Linked DNA regions of Schizosaccharomyces pombe. The gene in region 2 interacts genetically with the main gene of each other region. Each region holds a gene or a part of one and is shown on either strand. Other genes may lie near its edges.

The links. A genetic interaction does not mean that the proteins touch.
Region 1: mutations in iwr1 (region 2) and eme1 together harm fitness less than expected from each alone (positive genetic interaction), as found in Schizosaccharomyces pombe (2 studies listed by BioGRID).
Region 3: mutations in iwr1 (region 2) and res2 together harm fitness less than expected from each alone (positive genetic interaction), as found in Schizosaccharomyces pombe (2 studies listed by BioGRID).

The regions. Positions count from the first base shown.
Region 1 is NC_003424.3:3,293,510-3,301,469, forward strand, and holds eme1 (Holliday junction resolvase subunit Eme1), read right to left. Parts: upstream 6,405-7,960; 5' UTR 6,359-6,404; coding exon 6,272-6,358; exon of another isoform or gene 6,216-6,271; coding exon 6,124-6,215; exon of another isoform or gene 6,040-6,123; coding exon 4,011-6,039; 3' UTR 3,833-4,010; downstream 1-3,832. Other genes in the region: glycerophosphoryl diester phosphodiesterase Gde1, read left to right, coding at 121-137, 442-3,832. UniProt on the Schizosaccharomyces pombe protein: Interacts with mus81 to form a DNA structure-specific endonuclease with substrate preference for branched DNA structures with a 5'-end at the branch nick. Typical substrates include 3'-flap structures, D-loops, replication forks and nicked Holliday junctions.
Region 2 is NC_003424.3:1,591,849-1,599,521, forward strand, and holds iwr1 (RNA polymerase II nuclear import protein Iwr1), read right to left. Parts: upstream 2,692-7,673; 5' UTR 2,607-2,691; coding exon 2,546-2,606; intron 2,493-2,545; coding exon 2,424-2,492; intron 2,335-2,423; coding exon 2,022-2,334; intron 1,933-2,021; coding exon 1,542-1,932; 3' UTR 1,454-1,541; downstream 1-1,453. Other genes in the region: peptidase family curved DNA-binding protein Cdb4, read right to left, coding at 90-1,235; signal recognition particle receptor beta subunit Srp102, read left to right, coding at 3,347-3,514, 3,563-4,078; glutamate-ammonia ligase Gln1, read right to left, coding at 4,644-5,723; SPOM_SPAC23H4.05C (uncharacterized protein), read left to right, coding at 7,483-7,673. UniProt on the Schizosaccharomyces pombe protein: Directs RNA polymerase II nuclear import.
Region 3 is NC_003424.3:684,660-692,003, reverse strand, and holds res2 (MBF transcription factor complex subunit Res2), read right to left. Parts: upstream 5,470-7,344; 5' UTR 5,412-5,469; coding exon 5,180-5,411; exon of another isoform or gene 5,016-5,179; coding exon 3,274-5,015; 3' UTR 2,825-3,273; downstream 1-2,824. Other genes in the region: atp20 (F0-ATPase subunit G), read right to left, coding at 20-151, 201-298, 348-474; ATP-dependent RNA helicase Rok1, read right to left, coding at 1,076-2,521; glutamate-cysteine ligase Gcs1, read right to left, coding at 5,734-7,344.

The sequences.
Region 1 (7,960 bases), 1.7 Mb from region 2:
AGTAGTGGTATTCTACCACGTATTTGAACTTGGCCTTAGCCAAATAGTAGTTTATGAACGATTGGATTACTCCATTAATTTCGATCTCTCTCAAATTCCTGAATCCCAGTCCTCTTTATTATGAAGTTTGGTGAAAGGTAGGTCGACATATTTTACACATTTTAGAATGTTGTTTAGACCTTCAAATAGCCGTTAAAGAATGCAATATTTGCAAAAAGTTTATTATGGTTAAGGCTTTTAATGTCTTGAATGTAACGGTTATGTTTGAGGATACGCATTTGTGTTGAATAGGAGTACGGGATTAATTAAGATGATCTGCCAGTAAACTCCTTTCCCTTCATTCTCATCATTTGCAACCGTATGACTAACCATTGTTTAAACTTTTCTTTTTCTTAGTTTATAATTGTTGGTTTGCTTTAGTCATTGTCTGCTAACCGACAGTCTTCAATTGGCGTTGATCCCGGAGTTTGCAGAACAGTATGTTGATTATAATGGAATAAAGCGAAAGATTCAACTGGTTGCTGCGCTTCCCGAGGATGAACGGAAGAAATTATTGAGGCGTAATAGTGACGGATCATGGCCAAAGGGATCGATCGACGAAATGTTGGAAAACGATCTTCAGAAGGTTGTTAACTTGTTCAATACTCGCATTGTCCAGCTTGATAATTATGTCACTCGTTTGTCTACGGAGAAATCTCCCAATACTGAAATTACACAGGCACTGTCTTCATCTTACGAAGCTGAAGAAAAGGCGAAGCAACTGAAAGAGCTAGACTTTCGTCTTCAACAATTATCATCCTTTTGTGAATGGAATAAGCTGGCCTTTGAAAAGCTAGCTGCCAATATGGATAAGCACCTTGGTACGGAGCGCTTGGTTACATTTTATGAGCAGAAGGTGTGTAAGCTTGATTTTGCGAATTCGTCCAAGATCTATGAGTCCATGATTGCCCTGAAGGCTTTGAATTCTTCTCAAAACGATAGTGAAGTGAAAGACAAGTTGGAAAAATTGTCAATTCACCATCCCTTGAAGAAGGATCTTTTAGCTTTTATTCAACTGGATATTGCCGCAGAGGTCGTGACCGCTTGTATAAATGCACCTGATAGTGTACTCGTAGATATACTGGCTGCCTCCATCATTGCGGGAGCCAAAGCTTGTATGCGTGAAGTTATAGGAAGAATTGGTTTACGTTCTGAGTGCCTGGCTTCTGCATTACGTCGTGCAATTAACAACCTCTGTGGTCCTGACGAAGGAGTTTTATATTTTTTGGAGGTGTTGAAACAAATTTGTTCAGTGGTTTATGTGGATTCATACCATTCTAATCGTTTACTTTCAAGGATTCTTCTTGTAGAACGAAATAGCAAGGGACAGAGTGTGATGCACTCTGTTGCGAAACTCGGTTGGGCAGGATTGTGCAGTAAGTTTTGTGAAATTGTTTCATCAATCCCTGACTCTGAGCCATTGAATTGGATGCTTCCATGTTGGCGCGATGTAATGCACGACACTCCCTTGACTTTGGCTATTAAGGGAAATCATGTTGAAGCTCTTCATGCTTTGCTTTCTGCTCAGGATAAGGAAACAACCTCTACCAAGCCGGGACCCGTTCCTCCTTTGGTCTTGACTTGCTGTGTAGGCGATTACGATTTGATCGTAGAAGAACTCATCCTTGCAGGATTCAATCCTAACGAAGTTGATGCTAGTAGCAATACAGCTTTACACACCGCTGTTCGTTATAACAGGCCGGAATGTGTTAAAATGTTACTCAAACTTGGAGCAAACCCTAGCGCAAGGGATTTTTTGAATTCATGGACTCCTTTGATGCTTGCATCAGCTACTGGACTTTCCGAAATTGTTTCAATTTTAGTTGCCTCGGGCGCTTCGGTTGACGAAGTTGATTCTTCAGGTTGGACTGCTATGGAACAAGCTGTGGTTCGGGGGTATTTACACCTAGCAGATAAACTTAGAACTCAAGTCGCCTTGAGTGATAAGCCTGTTAATTTACATACACTTTATATCAAAGCCTCAAGTTCCGAAATGAGGAGCAGAAAACGTGCCATGGATTTACAATTATCTCGTTCAGTGGTCATTATTCGAATCAGTGATTTGGCCGGTAGAATCCGCGTTAGTCTTCAAGGTGATGATGCTGTGTATGTTTCAGGGCGGTCTCCATCTTTTGCCGCAAGTAGACCATCTTCAGTAGATTTCATGTCTCAATCTACTGACTCGTTGAGTAAAAACGACACTACTGCTTCTAATGGCTCTATGACACCATCTTCTAGCCAAAACAACTCAGTGATTATTGATATCCCTCGCTCCCATTTTGATAATGCCGGTGAAGTTTGCTTAGAGAATTTGGCGGAGCCTGATGAAATTGCCGACGACTCTATTCATTTGCATTATGATGCCGCACAAGAAAATAGTCCGCAACCTGTAAACGGGTCTTCTCCACCGTATGAATTGGTTTTCGTTACAAGAAATACAGAAGAAGCAACTATTACAATTGATTTGTTAGCAAATCGATCCCATAAAATATTAGGGAGAACTGTATGTTGCTTGACTTCTCTGGTATCTGATTTGGGGAATCATATGCAGTCGTTGAAACCTTTGGCACCCTTACCATTACTTTCGAGTAAAACTCTTAAACCAATAGCTCATGTTAATGCGGATGTTCTTATTTCTAAGGTGACAGTTGATGATAGATTTTCGTCAAATGATGGCATAAGTACCCCTGCCTTATCGCTGGAAGCAGTTTCCAACGTAAGTCGCACTGCATTGGAAGACGCTGAGCGTTCTTTACACAAATCTGCCACAACTACATCAGAATCAGGGAAATCGAATGGTGTTGCGGTTATCGGACATCGTGGACTTGGTAAGAATCAGCCTGATCGTTTGAGTCTTCAACTTGGCGAGAACACTTTACAATCGTTTATAAAAGCGGCAGATCTTGGTGCTTCTTACGTTGAATTAGATGTGCAAATGACTAAAGACATGGTCCCAGTGGTATACCATGATTTTATCGTAAACGAAACCGGAACGGATGCACAAGTGCATTCGCTGACTTTGGAGCAATTCTTAGGGGCTTCCCACTCTCCTTCAGAAGAAATTAAAGATGATGCAAGTGACATTCAGCAGAAGAGACGTCCTAGGGCCTACAGTTCCTCATTTACACCTTCAGGATCACAGGTTAATTTCGGTGAATTTGCTGAAGAAAACGCACGTTTGAAGCCTAAAGTATATAAGGGTAATGCCCTTGGTCATACGATTTGTGCACCGTTCACAACTTTAAAGGATGTTTTGAAGGAAGTTCCACAATCCGTAGGACTTAATGTGGAATTTAAGTACCCCATGCTAAGTGAAGCTGAGGAAGAGAAATTGCTCCCTATAGCTTATGATTATAACTTTTACGTGGATACCATTCTATCGATAATCAAAAAGTATGGTGGTAAAAGAAAGTATATTTTCTCTAGTTTTAATCCTGATATATGCATCTTACTTTCTTTGAAATCGACTAATCCTGTTCTTTTTTTGACTGAAGGAGGTACCGCTTACCGAACAGACGTTCGTGCAGCATCGCTTAGACAAGCTTTAAAGTTTGCCTCACAGTGGAGTTTTCTGGGTATCGTTAGTGCTTGTGAACCGCTCATTATGTGCCCGAGGCTGATCAAGGCAGTTAAACAATTGGGTTTATCTTGCTACACCTATGGTGTTCTCAATAATGATGTTGACAATGTCCGACGCCAAGTACGTTTTGGAGTTGATGCTGTCATTGTAGACAATGTGTTAGCCATTAGACGTGCCTTGAACCAGTACGATGAAAGTTTGGAATCTGATTGATCTAGAAAGTTTGAACGAATACTACCGACGATATAGAAGATGAGGTGCTTTAGTTAGAAACCGATATTAGTTAATTTTTAGTTAGAAGAAAGTATATCATAAGAAAATTTCATAGATAGAAAAAAAAAGGAAAAAATATCATGATAACAATTAATGAAATACAAATAATGACCGATCACTATGGTGCATCACTGGATGCTTCTTTACATAAGAAAGTGTTATATATACGGCGCGATAAAACCGGACCTAAATTTCGTTCACTAATACTAGATTGGATGACAACGTTGGTTAATGATTCCTCGCCGTGAGTTTTTAGATGATGAATTAAAGATGGTATACTGTCAAATTGATCGCATATGGCGTTAGCAATGTTAGGTGTAACTCGTAGTATTTGCCGCAACATAAAATTTAGAGAGTTTTCAATTCTATCGGCGGATTTGACATGTCCTATTTCGGTAGTAGAGGCTCTAGCTGAAAATTTAGAAAAGTGCTTGTAACGAGATAAAGCTATGTCGCCGGTAAAGGAAACTATCCATTGAGCGGTTTCTTTTTCGTCATTTGAAGTGTTTATAAGAATACTATGTTCGAAACTGAAGCGGACGATTTCACTCTCTAACTTTTCTTTAGTAAAGTTTTGATATTTTGATAAAGAACCAAATAACAAAGGTCTGGTACCGCTATTAACAGCTGCTGCATATTGACGATTTAATTCTGCTTTCAGAGATTTAAAATAGTTTGGGATGCCTTCCAGCAACAGTATTAGCTTACAGCCTTTAAACTTTTCAGACATTTCATGAAAAAAAGTATCAGCTTGGTCCTCTTCGATGTATTTTATAAAATCCCGGCATTTCAACCGTAGTAGGGCAAAAGGTTCGATTTGTTCATGCTCTATGCTAAGTTCAAACCGGTTGGTAGAAGAATTAAACACATTGTTTACCTTCCTTTTCCACATAATTGAGTCTTTTGGTTGATTTGAATTGACAACGAATTGGCAGTTGTATGAATCTAATTGAGAGCGAACAGTTGAATACCAAGATGAAGCCCAATCATCCGGCGATAAAAGAATTATCTCAGATAGGCATTCTTCTTTGGTTCTCTTAACTTTGTTAATTTTTTGAAGTTCCTTTGAATTCTTTCTGTCCAATTCTTTCGCCATCTTTCTATTCAAGCTGTCAACCTTATCTAAAGTTTTTGATTTTTTCAAAGAATCTTCGTAACGTTTCCTCTTACGTTGTGTATTAGAGTCTAGCTCGTACGGTTCCAAGCTCCTAGAGCATAATTTTCTCATTTTTTTTAATTTATCCAAATTTTTTTTATTTGAATTTGAAGTAGAGGCAGGAGGCGTATCGGTAGTCCTTGAAATTTTGGGTAGTCTCATTTTTTTAAAAGCTCTACTTTGAATGGAAAGTTTGTTTAGAGAAGGAAGTTCTTGAAAACTATCTTCCTGACTAGTATTGGGTTCAATTGAAGAATGCTTGGATGGAGAGGTCGGGCTATCTAAGTGCACATCAGATGTGAGATTGAAAGTTCTTTCTTGATTTTCTACGGAGGTTTTGGAACGGTTATTGATGAGGTCGATTGTATTGGAGCTGTCTTGGTTAGGAAATAAATTAGGCGTAGAAGGGGCATGTGATAATCGATTAGAAGTAGGACTAGCGATGGATGGCATGCATGGCTTTAGTATAGAGGATGAGGATGTTAGTGCATCGTTGAAAGATTTTGTTTTTGTTAGCGGACTCTGGGTAAATGGGAAATGATCGTCATCATTCGTGTCCAGTAGTATATCGTGAAGGGAGTGGGATTTTTGAAGGACTGTGGAGAGCGGCGGGGAGGACTGGAAATCTTTTAAGGGTGAAGAAGTCAAAGAAGCAGCTTTTTTAGATAAAGGGGAAGCCACTTGTTCATTGTCGTCGGGAATAACGATGGGAGAGGAGGTTTTCGATGACAATTGTGTAGTCCTAGGAATGGTGGGAGTATGGAATAAATGAAATTCTTGGTGTTTTGGTTGCGAGGAAAGGGAATTAGGGGGAGAAGAGTTTAAATTAATGATTTCGACGCGTGAAGAAGGATTTAAATTCGTGTTTGTTGACTGGTTTGAAGAAGTTAAAGAGAGCAAAAGATTATCGGTAACCGACTTTTTATTAGTGATATTAAGGGCATCACGGGGACTAGGGAGAACATCTTCGGAGCCGGAAACTAAAGGAGTACTGACCCCAAATGAACGATTAGCGAGATGTGGAAGAAAAGTGTGGAAAGGAAGGAAATGCTGGCAACAATATTTGTCAACTTACCTGAAACTTTTTAGCAAACTATCGCATTGAGTAGATCTTTGAGGAGTATCAAGAACAGTTATAACATTGTGTTCTGACAAAGCAATATTGTCCTAAAAAGAGGGTTAAAAAAAAAGCGAACAGAAAGAAAGGGAAATACGCGACAAACCTTGGAAGGAGAAGCTTGTGAGCTTGAAATGTCAACATCAGCTTCAGAATCGATCACAATAGCGGAATCTGTAGACTGCAGAGTCATTCAATGCATGTGTAGTGTTTGTTTTCCGAACAATAGAGGGTTTGGTGGTTAGGACAGGTAGGGCAAAGTGTACACAAGGAGCCGGCAGGGAACGAGAGTTGGTGACAGAAATAGAGCGAAAAGAAATGAGAAAAAAAAAAAAAAGTTTGAAGTAAAAAATTTAGATAGGAATGGTATTAAAGAGTTTGAATAATTAAAAAGATTGGAGGTTTGCGTGGATGTTTGAGGATATTTGGTATGGAAAGTATAGAGAGTAGTAGGTTTGTTTACATATAAGTATATATAGGTTAGGTGAGAGATGGGTAAAAAATGGAGAAGAGAAATGGATGCAGGAGGAGTTTAGATAAGATGAATAGTATAAAAAAAGGAAAATATTTATTCTTTTAGAAGTAGTTGAAAGGATGTCGTTTTGTGTTTGAGAATTGAAGATTATTGAAATCAATGAGTGGGATGGGTGAGTATTTCTTTTGCAAATACTGTGGTTTAGTGTGTCATTTTGAAAGAATTTTAGGTAGAAGGGCGATACGGTATTTAGGGACTTTGGTAGTACGTTAGAAAGTGTAAAAAGATTGAATAAAATAAAAATTTCAAAGAAAAGAAAATCAATTAATTTAACCAAAATTAAAATAAATTCAATTCAAATTCAATAGAATAAAATACTCTAATATTTAAAGCTCAATAGTATAAAAATAAAAATAAAAATGTACTAGAGTTTCTTTTTCATTAGTCTGTTTCATCAATGATGGTAAACAAAAAAATAAAATAAAATAAAATAAAACAAAATAAAAATGAAAATGAAAATGAAAAATCCTTTGATGCAATGTTTCCAAATGGGTTTATGCTTACTTTTTTTTTGTATTCTTTAATTGATCAACGATACAATGAATGATGAGTAAAAACTTTTTTTGTTTTTACCATGAATACATTGTTTTTCTTTTTTTTTCGGGGGGGGGGGGGGGGGGGCTTTTTTTTCCTTACTCTTCTTTGTCTCTTTTTAAAATTTTCTTTTTCTATTTAATTTAATTTTACTTTTCATTGCAAAATCAATTCTACTTATTAGTTCGCAGTTTAAAACATTTTTTCATTGCGATCTGTGAATTTTGCAACCAAACAAAGAAAGCAGAAAGGCAAGGGTGTAGAGTATAGTAGAGCAGATCAAAGCAAAGCAAAGTAAAGAGAGAGAGAAACCAATATTCGCAAACTGAAATTTCTCCTTTTTTAAGAGGACCAACGAGTTGTGCGAAATTTCCAAATTATTCATAGTAAATTCAACTGCATTATACAAGTATAATCAATACACACTACTATCTTTTATCATTCTTCACTAAACAATCATTAGTAGAGTACGAAAGTCATCGCTACATTTTACTTGTGACCAAGCCAAACCTTTTTTCCTTATAGTCAAGACAGTGTGTATCAAGGCAGCGTATGTGAATAGCAACAGCGTATGTATATGTGTGTGTATCATTGTTCGCTATAGCTTTTTTCTCTTAGTGTCAACGTGTGAGTGTGATAAGTTGTATTTTTACAACGGAAATCCTTTAAATAGACTCTTATACATGTTGATCCAGCAATAAGCCAAAAAAAGTGCAATACGTCAAA
Region 2 (7,673 bases):
GTCATTTACATTATAATTTTAACGTTTTAATGGGAAAAACCTTTTATTGACTGGTCAAACTAGAAACATAAAATTTTTATTTACCAACCTTATTCATTAGCTTTTGATGGCTTCTTGCTCTTCTTCTTGTTTTTGGTCACTTTGATGGGAGTCTCAAGGAGAGCCACAATTTCTGGGTCTTCAACTTTTTTATCGGATTTAATGAAATCTTCCTTAGGTTCAGAATCGCTGAGAATAATTGTACCCTTTTTGGTCAAAGCAATGGTTGAATAGAATTCAGCAACAATGCCTCCGTCTTTATCGAGCAAAACTTCATAAGGGAACAAAAGTTTGTGGCTAGTACATTCATTTAATCCCATATTGGTTCTTGAATCAAAACTAATATTACGAGTGGAAAATGGGAAAGGACCAAACTTAGTTTGGATTTCAGAATAGACTTTGCGGCTAGCTTGAAGTTTCAACATGTAAGTTGTATCGGTCTTTTTGTAAATACGAGTAGCAATGTCAGAACGCTTCACTTTCCCAGAAGGCGATGTTGAAACAAGAATGTCAACGCCATAAACTTCTCCTTCCTCAAACGTAAAAGTATCCATTTCACTACGTTGAGAATCAGAAGGATTTAAAATAACCTGTTTTTTGCCATCAATAACTTCACGCTCTTGCTGATGGCTAAGCATACCAGCAACAGGTTTGCAGCCATAGCTAGTAGCAATTTTGTCAACAATGTCAGTGACTTGCCAGTTAGTATTACCAGGTTTAATAGTGCGTTGAGCAGCCTTCAAAGCAGCAGAAGCAGCTGCAATAACATCAGCGGCAGGACCAGTAACTGGTTCTTCAGAAACTACAGTTGTAGTAGCGACCAAGGAAGCAAATCCATCAATATGAGCACCCAAAAGAATTTTTACAACATCACCCGATTTCAAAGCGAGATTGGCTTCGGGATCACTTTTTAAAGGAGATAAATGAGCAGCCATATCATTAGGAGATACAGCGGTAGGGAAAGCAATACCTTTATAAGCATCCTTGGTACGATATACTTTCTTGATAGCTTCGTTCAATAGTTCATCACCACGAACGCAAATATCGTATATTTTGGCTCCAGGTTGGCATAATTCTACCACTTTTTTAATAACATTTTGAGAAACTTCGCCTGCAATTTTATATTTATTGACGGTTTCAGGATTACTCAAAGAATAATCGACAGCAGTCTCTGAAGTTGCTTCTTTAGTCGACATATTGTCTATGATGTAGCTAAATCTGGCTACAAATTCAAGAACTTGGTGCTAGGATTTTGCAAGTCACAAAATTGTGGACTCCAAACTCATGAATAACATGGCTCATATTGAATCCTATGATATAACTAAATAGTAATGCTATTAAAATTTACACATATTACCCAGACACAATATAATGTATGAGTTTTTAAAAAATACAATAGAACAATTTACTAAATTCCTGATATAAATTTCTCCAAATAATATCATTCACCTATTAAACTGTAACCGATTTCCATTTTGTTCGTTTTTTTAAGTAGCAAACATCTAATCATAAAAGTCTTGCTCAGCATCATCGGAGTAAGCAAATTCATCATTTTCACTGCTATCTTGCCATTCGTCTTCATCGGGATAGCTATTTTGATAGAAGCTTTCAGCGTTTGAATCCTCATCAATTTCATCATGTAATGGATCATCTTTATCAGAGTCCACTGTCTCGGAGACTAGTTCCTGTTCTAATGAAGAACGAAAAGCGTCTGGGATGGACAAAGCATCAATTACACCATAAGCAAACGTTGGCTTGTTTGGTTCTTTGCTAGATGCTTCATAAATATCGTATACGTAGTCTTCCGTAGATTGCTGAAGAGGAAGGTCTCCATTTGACAAATATTCTTGAATCATAGAATCTAGCTGAGGATGCGGATGATACGTAGTATGTCTATGAATGTTAGTTAAGGTAAAAAAAGCCAAGAGCCAGTTCTTATAACAACAGAACTAAGTAATTGACTCTATTTGATGTTGACATACCCTTGTTCGACACGGATAGCGTCGAACACTCTATTACTTTGAGTAGAAGGTAAATTCTGAATTGTATAGCGTGGGGATGAGAAAGAAAGAATACCTTTTGTATTTTCACGGGATCCCAAGTCCATGTGCGTAGGTGCTTTCACAACGTCTTCAGAAGTTTGGACGACAGGGATTCCGTAATTGTTCTTTTTTAGAGATGATATTTTTGTATGACTGTGGATATTTCGAACGTCTTCATGAGTGGGTTCCGAAGATTCATCATTTATCTGAATATACCGATCATCTTGCTTCAGCGTTTGTGATAGTTTAAAATCTAGAAACTGTCAATAAAAGGTAATTGTGTTTTTCAAATGATTAGTCCTTGTGTAATATTCCAACACAAAAGCTCAAGAAGTAGCATACAATATCGTCCGGCGAATTTCCTTCTTTTCGTACTTGAAACAGAATTTGGATTGTTTCCAAGTTCCAAATCTAAATTATTAAGGAGTTAGATAAAGAAAGTTTACTTAGAAGCTTGGTCGTACATAGGGCGTTAACAGGATCTTCTGAAGCTTTACGCTTAACTCGAAGTACTGGAAGAGGCATCTTCGTATCACAATTTAATAACGAGAGTTAGACGACTCTTTAAAAAAGGAATTAATATAACCAGCAAAATCTACGGTTGGGGGATGGCAAGTCTGCAATGTAAAAAAGGTAGATATAAAAGTAGCTCTTCGACTGAAAGACAGCAACTTCAGTATAACTTGGATTGAAGTAGTATTACAACAACGCAATCTTATCTTTCAAAATGTAAAATATTCTATAGTTTTATTATTTTAAAATAAAAAATCGTGAAGTTCATTATTTATATCATTGTCATCACTTAACAAAAAGAACTTTTCTATAATAAATAATGTTGAGCAAACAATGAAGCAAAAATATTCAATAAGTCTAATTACACAAATTCACAACTTAAAGATGCCCCACAACAATTAATTCCACTCAAAAGAACCGATGATATAAATGTATACTTTGACGATTAACAAAGATTGGTCTAATCAAGCAATTATCTCATGTAATACATTCAGGAAAAATGTATTTTGTATTGTTTTAATTAAATTCAAAAGAGGGTACAGTCAATCTCTACTGCTGCAATCTGTACGAGAATTGTCTTTTTTAAACAAAACTTCGAGAACTAGTTTGGATGCTTTTTTTTTTTTTTTTTTTTTTCACATTTATTTCTCTCTTCTGAAAAATATATCTTAATCAACGATCGTATGAAAATGAGGTCTTTGTAACATTTGACATATATCTTCTACACACCCAACTGGTACCAACAACAGCATATGGATGGAACTTCTCAAGCTTTTAAAATTATTGTAGCTACAATAATTATAGGAGCTATTATATCTACCCTAGGAATTTTTTTTACTAGAAAGACAATTCAAAAGAAGTTACCAGCAGTGTTTTTAATTGGACCTAGCGATTCTGGAAAAACGTCTTTGTTTTGTGAGGTATAACAATAATATACAATCTTTGAATACTTATTAACTGTTATATAGCTAATTTATAAAGAAAAGAAAACTACAGTTCCTAGCATTGAACCTAATGAAGCTGTGTGGAAATATGGTGCTTGGTTAGTAGATCTTCCAGGGCATCCCAGGGCCAAACGTTGGATTACTACTAAATTCTCTGGAAATTATAATGTAAAAGCTGTAGTTTTCGTTCTCAACAGTGCTACAATTGACAGGGATGTGCACGAGGTTGGATTGATGTTGTTTGACACAATTTTAAAATGTCGCAAGCATCATGTCCCTCATCTATTAATTGCCTGTAATAAATTTGATCTTTTTACTGCTCAACCTGCGGAAAAAATTCAACAATTGTTAAAAGCTGAACTGCACAATATTTTGGAAGAGAAAAATCTTCAACTCGAATCTATAGTCTCTGAAGATGTCGATTGGGAATCAGTTGCAGATCAGATTGAAGATACTGATCTTAAATTCCTTCCTGGCAGCGTTGCAAAAATGTCGAACATTGAAGAATGGATTTCATGGATGGAATCAGCTTTACAATAAAGATGCATTAATTATTCACAATTGATAATTTACAAGTAACCAACCAAAAAAGATATATTTTTGCATGTCTAGAATAAGCTATCGTTTTATTTCAAAAATTCGTAATCTTGTGTGAATACTGTAAAATACTTAAAAAAATTAACAGGGTTGTTGACAAACTGATTCGTAAAGTACTTGTACTTAGGGACAGCTTGGGTAAAAAAAAACAAGAGAAACATTAATATTAGTATAAGAATATCAAGAAAAGAACAATCCAAGGTTGTATCAAAGCCTCACATACGCAATGAAAACACTCTTGATCATTATAAGAAGGTGAGCAACAAGCTCAGTTGATAAATGGTGATACTTTAAAAAAATGACTGCAACGAATGCATCATATGAAATATTCTAAAAAAAGATAAACATCACAAAAAAGTGAAGCTGATAAACAAAATTACTACACAACAAACTCATTAAGTCCTACAAACAAAAACGTGATATTATAAAAACTTAAACACATATTTCAAAATGGTTAATAACTGGGTGGTCGACGTGACCTGCACGTTAAATTATGAGGGAAAATTGTCTAATGCTCAAACATGGTCTCAGTGATGATACCAGTGACGAGGTAAGGATCGATGGAAGAAGCAGGACGACGATCCTCAAAGTAGCCGCAACCATTCATGGCGACAGAACGGGGGATACGAACGGATGCACCACGATCGGCAACACCATAAGTGAACTTATCGATTGAACCAGTTTCATGACGACCGGTAAGACGCAAGTCGTTGTCGTCACCATAAACAGCAATGTGCTCCTTATGGCGTTTGGCAAACTTCTCGAGATAAGACTCAATAGCTTTTATACCACCTTCAGCACGAGTGTCCTTAGTAGAAACGTTAGTGTGGCAACCAGCACCATTCCAGTCACCCAAAATTGGCTTGGGGTGGAAGGAGATTTTGACACCAAAATCTTCGGCAATGCGGTGAAGAAGGAAACGAGACATCCAGAGTTGGTCACCCATTTCAATACCAGCGCAAGGGCCGACTTGGTATTCCCATTGGGAAGGCATAACCTCAGCATTGATACCGGAAATGTTGATACCAGCGTAAAGACAAGCCTTGTAATGGGCCTCAACGATGTCACGAGCAAAGACGCGGCCAGTACCAACACCGCAGTAGAAAGGACCTTGAGGACCAGGGAAACCACCCTTAGGCCAGCCAAAGGGACGGTCATAGTAGTCCAACATGGTATATTCTTGTTCAATACCAAACCAAGTTTCTTTGTCAGCGTGCTTCTCCAACAACTTGGCGCAAGCGTCACGATGGTTGAAGCCGTTGGGAGAGCCATCAGCGGTGTAGCAAGCAGCGAGAACGAGAATGTTGTCACCGCGACGGAAGGGATCATTGTACATGGCAACAGGCTTCAAAAGAGTGTCAGAATTGTTGCCGGGGGCCTGACCGGTGGAAGAGCCGTCAAAGTTCCAAACGCGCAATTGGTCAATAGAGGAAGGCTTGGCATCGAGAGTCATGGTCTTGCTACGAAGATGGTTGAAACCATCGATCCAGATGTACTCAGCCATAACCTTACCATTTTGAGGAAGATCGGCATACTTGTTTAAAATAGCAGCCTTGGAGAGAAGAGGTTCAACGTCGTATTGAGACATATTGAAAGTAAAAGGGAAAAAAAAGGTAGAAAAACAAAAGATAAAAAAAAACGAAAGTCTAGAGAACGGAAATTTGAAAACTAGCAACAGAAGAAAACCCCGTTACAAAACAATAGATCGATTACTGTAAACCAGGATTAACAAAATTTGTCAACGATCGAAAAACCGAGATAAGGATATCGAACGAAGTATATTAATGAAGAATAAAAAAAAAGTAACTTTAAACCAAGGCAACAATTATACCGAGTTTAATCTAAATTACCGTGTAGAGAAGAAGAAAACCCCCCAAAAAAAATTTATATGTATAAAATAAAATATGTGTAGGAGCGTGAATTATATATGTTACTAGTAAAAGCAAATATATAACAGCGTTTTTTTCGTTTTACACAATCAAATCTTTCTTTACAAATCTAGAAGAAAGAAAGCCGAACAAACGAAACGAAACGAAACAAAAAAGGGTGGAAATTTTTTTTTGGCTTCGAAAATGTTATTTGGAGAAGAGTAAGGTGACTCGCGCCTTCACTTTATATACCACGACCGGTTAATTGCACCTCGTCCTCCAACACTCCGTTAACGAGGAAACCGGCGTAGATAAAGAGTTTGGGGTAAGGGTTGCAATAGATGGGCAGCATTTGATTGGGGGGTTCTTGTCCAGAATGCAAGATATCACAGATGATTGGAAGTATGGGCCAATCATGGAGCGAATGAATGATATGGAAGATAATTTATCTAGAATGATTGGCGGAAAAGGCGCCTAAAGATAGTGCCAGGGATCGCCTTTTTTCCATTTTTTTATCATGAATTAACCCGGAAAAGCTGGACACCGCAAGTCATCGTTGCTGCAATTACGGAGATTTTCGGAGCGCGTAAAGAGCGAGAGAGAGAGCAGGCTGGGTATGATGGGTGCTCATGTGTTCGCTTGCATGTATGAGCAAAGCAAAGGGAGAGTTGATACACACACACACACACACAGAAAGAGAGAGAGATATAGAGAACGAGGATATCAGTTTAAAGAAATGAAGCTTCATAACGAGTTGCCTTGAAGATATACATTGCTATTACTACGATTGCATGTTGTGTAATTAAAATTAACAAGGTGTCATTGTAAATAATCAGTTTATCTCAAATGTGTGATAGTCTAAATTTACTTTTGCTACTAAGTAGGTAATTAGGTTGGGTTGCTTTATCTCTAGGTAGGCAGTTCTTCGTTGGTATTCTAGATACCCCAACCAAGTGTGGACGTATGCGACGATGATAATAGTGGATAGGAAAGCTAGACGCTGACTATTCAGCGTGTTTTAATTTTAATTTTTTTTTTTTTAGATGAGGAGGGGCTTCTTATCAGGATTCAATGAAGCTATGTGTTGCCAGCTGTTGACTAGACTAACATTGAAGTAACAATACCAGGGCACGACAAGTTCCATCAAGGGCATGTCTTAACACAGTCAATATGAGTGAGGTTAGCAATAAGAACGAGGTTAACAAAAACTGTAGAATGAAAACAAAGAGTAGCGCAACAAAATAGAGAAGAGCGATAGGGTCGCTGAGATATTGTTAATGCATTCATATAGTCAAACGATGGATAGAAACGAAAAGATTGCTGATAAATCGCATGGATCTTTGCAAATTTATTTTACAAGCTAATTTCAGTTGCGCGCAAAAAAAAAGTAAATAAATAGATTTAAAGAAAAAAAAAACAGAAATATAATAAAAATAAAGTAAAAAAAAAAAAAAAAAAAAATAGAAAATAAAATGCTATATGCTTCTCCATGGACTGGGCCGCATGAATATCATATTCATCTGTTTTCCCTCTCTTGCTTGCCTCTTGACATCTCGGACTCCATTGTGCGCTCCCTTGTTTTCCCACTTGGATGGCATGACACCATGCCCCATCGATTGCGGTTTTGCCGTGGGGCGTTCCCGTGGAGGCGGCTTTGGGGGTAAACCTGA
Region 3 (7,344 bases), 910 kb from region 2:
AAAGATTAAATTCATCTTTTTAATGATATGGAGTAATTTTTCTACGACCAACCATCTGGCCAGCGCAGAAAATACCAACTATTTCAACTGCGATGAAAAAATTGCGGCCCCATGCTTCAGAGGATTGACTTTTCCAAAAAAGGAAGGGAGACTAAAAGAGAAATTAGTGGATCTGTTCTTTGTAGCAAATAGTTGCTTACATGAGTATTGGAAGGGGGTGCAATTTTTTGAGAATGATATACTTGTTGAACCAGCTCTTTCGAAACATTTGCCCAGTACATAATAGGTTGTTGTACAGCTAAATTGAAAAAGTTAGTTAAACAAATTAACCGTTATGTTTAAAATACCCGATAATTTTTGGATTAAGGGAGTGAAACGACCCTTGGCTTGTTCAGCAACTGTTTTAGTAGAGTAGTGACTCTTCCTTAAAAAATTGTAATTAATACGAGAGATAATTCGACTTGTGGAAAACATTATACTTCGAAATAGCCTGAATTGGAAAGAGATGGGATTCGGTAAGTTAAGGTTGTGATGAAGTTTCTACTCCCATATACCAATTAAGTAACACCAATTTTTCTCCGTTCATAGGTAATTTCAATGATACACAATATAAAGTAAGTTAAAACAATATAATATTTACTGAAACACACTCGTGATTTCGAAAACGAGAAATTATAAAACAGTGTCAGCAACGTAATATAGCTTTCAAATTGTAGTTAAAATAACAATTGCAAAAACCCTGTTGGGTACTTAAAATAAAATAATCTCCTTGTACCTGTTTACGCCTACATTAATTGTACTCGTGTAGATTTTTATCAGTTTTAAAAAGCCGTACAGCACTTGCTGCATTATTGTTAAACAAAAGATGTAAAGTTAGATATGTCAGGTACCACAGTAACATAAAAGTTTCTTACCACAAATAAAAGTAAAAGAAAATAATATGATTGCTAAAAAATATAAGGCTCTATTATATCAAAGCAATAGTATTTTGGAGTGAATATGACTTTTTTAAATGAACACAAAAACTAAACTAAAACCCAAAACCCTTTATATAAATACTTTCAGTAGCAACAATCTATTGTCCACTGTCTCCAGTAGCTTCATTATGCTTTTTGATAGAGGCTTCTTTTTTTACCTTCTTAATATACTCCTTCTTACGCTGTTCCTTTTGTCTGTCGTAAGAAGCTCTAGTAGTAATCCTCTTTCTTTTAGGAGGACTCTTCTTCAACTTCTTTTTCATTTCTTTACTAGGTTTAGGAAGTGCCATAACCCAGTTTGGAACCTCGCAACCTGATGAACGCATTACACCAGCAATAAGCTTGATATATTCACCATCTTCCTTTGTAAAAAAAGTAACGGCCTGTCCTGTATTTCCTGCACGCCCAGTTCGACCGATACGATGAATATAACTATGAACACTTTGAGGAAAGTCAAAGTTGATGACCATCTTTACACCATGAAAATCGATACCACGAGCAAGAAGATCTGTTGCTATTAAAACCCAAATTTCACCCTTCCGAAATTTCGCAAGTGCTTCTTCGCGCTTGGCTTGTGGTAATTCTCCATGAATGACACCAACGTGAATTTCATCAAATAAGAGTTCTGTGTACAATGCTTTCGCTCTTTCTATATCTTGAACAAATATTACGACTCGAGGCTTTAACTCTCCATTTGAAATCATTTGACGCAAAATCACAATTTTGGAAGTATCCGAACCAACAAACAAGAGTCTCTGATCGATGCTATCCGTGGCTGCATCTTTCAAACCAACGATGATTCGAATCGGATCAACCGTTACGACTTTAGCTAACTCTTCGACGCGTGATGGAATAGTAGCGGAAAAAAGGCTTTTACAAATATTAGAGCTGGTGCATGCACTTAGAATATGATCAGTTTGTTCAATAAAGCCAGGCTCAAAAAGTCTATCAGCTTCATCCATAACAAAGAATTCTACTTTTTCAAAGGACAATCCGGTTTGTATTGCTTGTACTAATCTCATCGGGGTGCCTATGCACATGTCATACTTTTCCCGGAGCTTGGGCGCTTTTTCTTGAATTTTTTCATTAGATTTACTTAATTCAATTATCTTCAATGAAGTTCCAAAAGACAGCTTTTCTGCCTGTCTATATATTTGCTCGCACAGTTCTCTAGTCGGCGCTACGATAATCGCTCTATATCCACCCGGAACATGTAACTGAAGTTTTTGCAAAATTGGGAATAGATATGCAATAGTTTTTCCAGAACCAGTTGGTGCACATGCCAATAGGTCTCGTTTAGAACCTATCGTTGGAATGGCATATCTTTGAATTGTGGTACATTCTGTTATGTTTTGTTTTTTTAAGTTTTCACAAAGTATTCCTTCCGGAAACTCTTCAATTGGATCAACAGGATTATTACCAGTAACTTTAGCTTTTCCCTTAGTAATACCTTGTAATTTTTTTGCTTCTTTTTCTTTTATAGAAGGTTGAGGTACTTTATTCTTAAATTTGACATTAGTTGTCAAAAGTTTCAACGCATCCATTTCCTTATGCAATACTTAATTATCAAAGTTAAAATATTTTAGTAGATATTTCAACGAAGGAACAAAAATAAAAGATTGTTGAAATTTTCAATTATACATATACACGACTAAAGTAAGTATGGTAGCTGCTGGGGAAAGGCTGCACTAACGTCCTCTAGTTAAACCAGTACGTTAATTCAAATTGTGTATTCCAACAGCGTTATTAAATTTATGTATGCTAAGTAAACATAATAAATGTATTCAAAAAAACGCGATTTCTGCGTTTATAGGTTACATATTTTTATATCGTATTTACGAGAAATACTGCTATAGATTTTCTTTCAATTAAATAATTGATTATTTGTATTAATCACTCTTTTACCTATTTGAACAGGACCCTCAAATTAAAGTGAAGCTCAGTAACTTGGTATCCTTTAGATGATCATTAACGTGCGAATGCAAAAAGGATGAATCATGAATGGAAGCACGCGCTGTAAATGAGATAAATCATTTTACAATAGTAGATTGTTTTAGCTGCGCATAAATAAGTAACATAATAGTTTTGTTAGGAAGGAGCAATATATGTTTTTTCCACTTGATTCCATTCGAAAATAATATATAAAATAACTCGTGTTTTTCTATCAAAGTATGATAACGTTGATAAATGCAGTTTGACAGTGAGTGTCATGGATAAAATCATTAACTATCATAACTCGTATCATTAAATAAAGAACGTAACATTAAGACAAGATGTAAATGAAAGTTTCCAAGATTCATTTTTCTCGGGTTAATGCTTCTTCCACAGCATCGAGTATTTCCAAACTCAAATCTTCAGGGTTGATGCCACAACTCATTGCAATAAGACGACGGTAACTATTAACTGTATCATCAATTCCTAGTTCTTCATACAATTTTCTAATATACAAAGTATCTTTTTTGCGGGAAGCTTGGAGAGAAGTTAACTTATTAATTAATTGCTCATATTCATCAGAATTGGTCACGTTGTTGCAAGCCGGCTTTTTAAAATCGTTATTTAACGAAAGTCCGTCTTCCTTTTTTAAAAAGTCGGAAGGAAAACTAATAGATAATGAAGTATGTGGCTTGAGGCTTCTCTCTAAATCAAAGATTTGTCGTGCTTCCAACCATATTAGTAACCTCTTCGAAAGCTGCTGGTAAGTTTCTTGGGCCTCTCGAATCAAGTTTTCCATAGATTGACTATAAGTGGGGTTATTTTTCTGCAGAAAGGTCAATTCCTGATAAGTTCTGGAAATTTCATTAAGCGTGTCTTGCTTGAGACGATTCGCTCTAATCAAATCTTCTTCTTTTTCTCGAAGCTGAGATTCATACTCCTCTGCTAATTGAGAAAATTTCGAAGATATTGAAGGAATTGCCTTAACAAAAGCATGCGATGAGCATGATGGCGAGATAATAGCAGGGCTTATTCCGGAAAATGAAAAAGCACTATGCGAAGCATTTGAGTTTGACTGTAACAATGAATGTGGCTTTTTGTCAGCTTCCAAAAGATACTCGGAAGCTGTACGTCTTTGTCGGTTAGGAATAGAAGGATTGGCGTTATAACTTAATAAAGAGTTTACACAATCCATGGCTCCATTTCGAGCAGCAATTAATAGAGAGGTATCTCCATTTGAATCTTGTAGATTTACCAATCTCACAACATTTTCAAATGGTTGAATCGATATTAGTTTCTCTAATATGCAATCCAAATAGTATTTGGCCGCTGCAACTTTTGAAGGAGTTGAGGTTGATTGCACAATATGATGAAAAATTGACTGACCATTGGTGTCAACAGCATAAATAGTAGACTGGAGAAGCTCAAGCACTTGTCCAAAAGTTTGGCAGTCATAATTATTGGTAAAGATAACACTCCTCATCAATGGTGTTTGACTCAGTCTGTTACACACGCCAATGTCAGCATTGGCTCTCAGTAATAACTTAATCATCTCTATATGTCCCATTGAGCATGCCCAATGAAGAGAAGTGTGGCCATCATCATCAATAACACTGTTAACTTGAAAATCCGGGGGCGGCGAATACAGGAAGGAAGGAATGCGTCCCTCTTCTGGGTGAAGAAAGAAGTCAAGTAGTGACTCTTCATATTTGTCAAGCGGTGCCTCCAACATGCCTAACTCTTCAACAGGTTTTATAGTGTTATCATTTGGTGATAGCAGTGCATTAGGAGACGCTGGCAGAGGTGTTGCAGAAACTTGCTCCTCTGCACCAGGCAAATTCACTTTATTCATAGATGACTCAATTGTTGGTGATATAGAAGAATTCGGTTGTTTTTCATTGACGGAATGCAAAGTGCTACTAGAAAGTGACGACGGTTTACGGCCTCTACGGCCACGTACAGAAGGCTTTTTCTGCTTGGTCTGCTTCTTCTTTGGAGCAATTGCTTTTCCCTCATCAATGTCAAGACTCAATATTGGGCTCATTATTCCGTCAACCTTATACTTTGTGGCCAGGTCGACCCCACGCTGAAATGGAACCCAAGTTCCTATAGTTTGGTTAATACCGTCAATCATTTAGAGGACGCGTCCATAGAGATATTTAATACAAAAAGGTATTAAAATACCTCGATTTGGCTTAGTAAACACTCAATTGTTCGCGTTGTTCAAAGATAGCAAATCATGTCACAACGCGTAACAGTAGACAACTTACCCTGATATTTTCCATATCCACCTTGTACTTTTTCATGCGCACCAATCTGTACTTGTCTTTCTAAAACCCTTGTCCTTTGTGGTTTGTCAAAGTCAGCCACTTTCAAGATTTGTGTAGCATTCAACCAGGAATCGCGGCGTCTGCGCATCACAGAGACACCTTTAATAAAGCATTCATAGACTTCAACCCCAGAATAAACGGCAACATGTACTGCGGAAGAACGTGGAGCCATTACAGCAAAAGGCAGTTAAAATGCGTAGCGCGGACTCTTAAAAGGGTGCATGCATTGCGTTCGCTCACCCTACCTGCGTATACACATAACAATAGGGAAGGGTGGGGCAATACAGAAAATCAACTATGTAGTTACTGAATATATATTAGCACTAATTAAATAATGAGTATTCACTTAATGAAAGGAATCAATGGGAAGTCTCAGTTGCCAAAGAACTACACTTGTAATACTGAATTGCAAAGGAATTTAAATTACCAAAATTTTAGATATGTTATTAAGTAGAAAAAAATCTTATATATATTCCACTCAGAATTCATCTGCATTATGAGCATTTTCCAAGTAACGTATCGTCGTAGTCGCCATCTACAATTTTTGCTATTCTTCTAATTAAATCATAATTAATTTCGTCGTTGACCACGCTGTCTTGCTTATAAGAAGGATGAGTTGTAATGAAATTGCGTATCCACGAAGCAGCAGTCAAGCATTGGCCATTTGCTCTTTGAGAAATTAGGCGAATATAACGTTCAATTAGGCAAATAGTTTTGGCATCAGGATTACAAGAGTATAAATAGCTTCGAACAATGGTAATTAAACCTGGGAATCCGTTTTCACGGTGCTCACCATTAAATAACTCGTCAATTGTAAGTTGACGGAACTGACCAGATTCATCATCAGTACTTGCGTCAGGAAATGGATTGCAACGGAACCAAAACTTTTTACGATGAATGGCATCACGAGCATGAGCAGCTTTCATGTTTTCATCCACTAGCGATATCGGCATGTACAGATTCAAATTGAAGGATAGAATTGCACGAGAAAGCATCACAACAAAAATTGAATATGCCGCATTTTCAAAATCAGTTATTTGAATTTCCATTGATCTAAATTCTACACGCCAACCAATATCACTACCTGGTGGAGGAGGTTTAAAGCGCATAGATTGCCAGTTAGTTGAGTTTAGGTTCTCAAAATGAGCATTGGATACACTGTTGTCTTGTAAAATGCTGTCACTGAAAATAACCAAAGGATCACGAGAGAATATGTGAGCCATGTGCTTAGCCAATCTTTCATCAATGCAATCTTTTATTAGCTTATCGTAGCAATCTTGATTTATAACGACCGGGACGTCATTATATTCCGGTAAATTGCGCTTGTCATTCGAGATATATAAGTCAACAGAATCATACCTTGATTTTGGCACAGTTTTCATTTCTTCCTCGGTTCGATCATCGACAGCACCAGCAATCACATTCCATCTACAATCTTGATCAGCCAAATAGCCTCGAAATGCTGGAGTTCCGGCAGATAATGCCAGCATCAAGGGGGTAATAGGAGTCAACTGATCGTATAAAAGTCTAGCTTCATCACAACTTTTAGCTTGGAATGTAATTTGTAGACAACAGCATCCCATACCGAAACCCATACTGTCCATGTAAATATGATTGTCTAACGCTGCACCATCTCGTGCATTTGCATCTTCAGGAAACAAATTTCTATCCCAAGGAACGGTAGGATCGTGAAATGGTTTAATTGTATTTTTATCGAAGAAAATCGGAACATTCATGGCCACTTTTCTCCCGCGCCTTTGACGAATATTAGCAGTCAAGGTCGGGAAACGAACATGTGTGTTGATAACATCGTCCGGTAAGAAAAAAGATCGCGAAATTGCACCATTGGCTTCGACTTCTGGATCCGTAAAGCCTGGTGTTCCAAGACGAAAGAAATTAGTAATTGTTAAAGGTAGCTCATTGGGTAGTAAATGGTTTTCAATAATTTTTCTTCTTAATCGCATATTGTACTCTACAAAAGTAAAATCCTTTAAAGTGGAACCATAAGGCGCACCTGGTGTACTTTCCAACATATAACGACCATATTCTGGATGGAAAGTAGGGACCGCGTTCTGCGCATGTGGTTTGGTGGAACTCGTAATTTC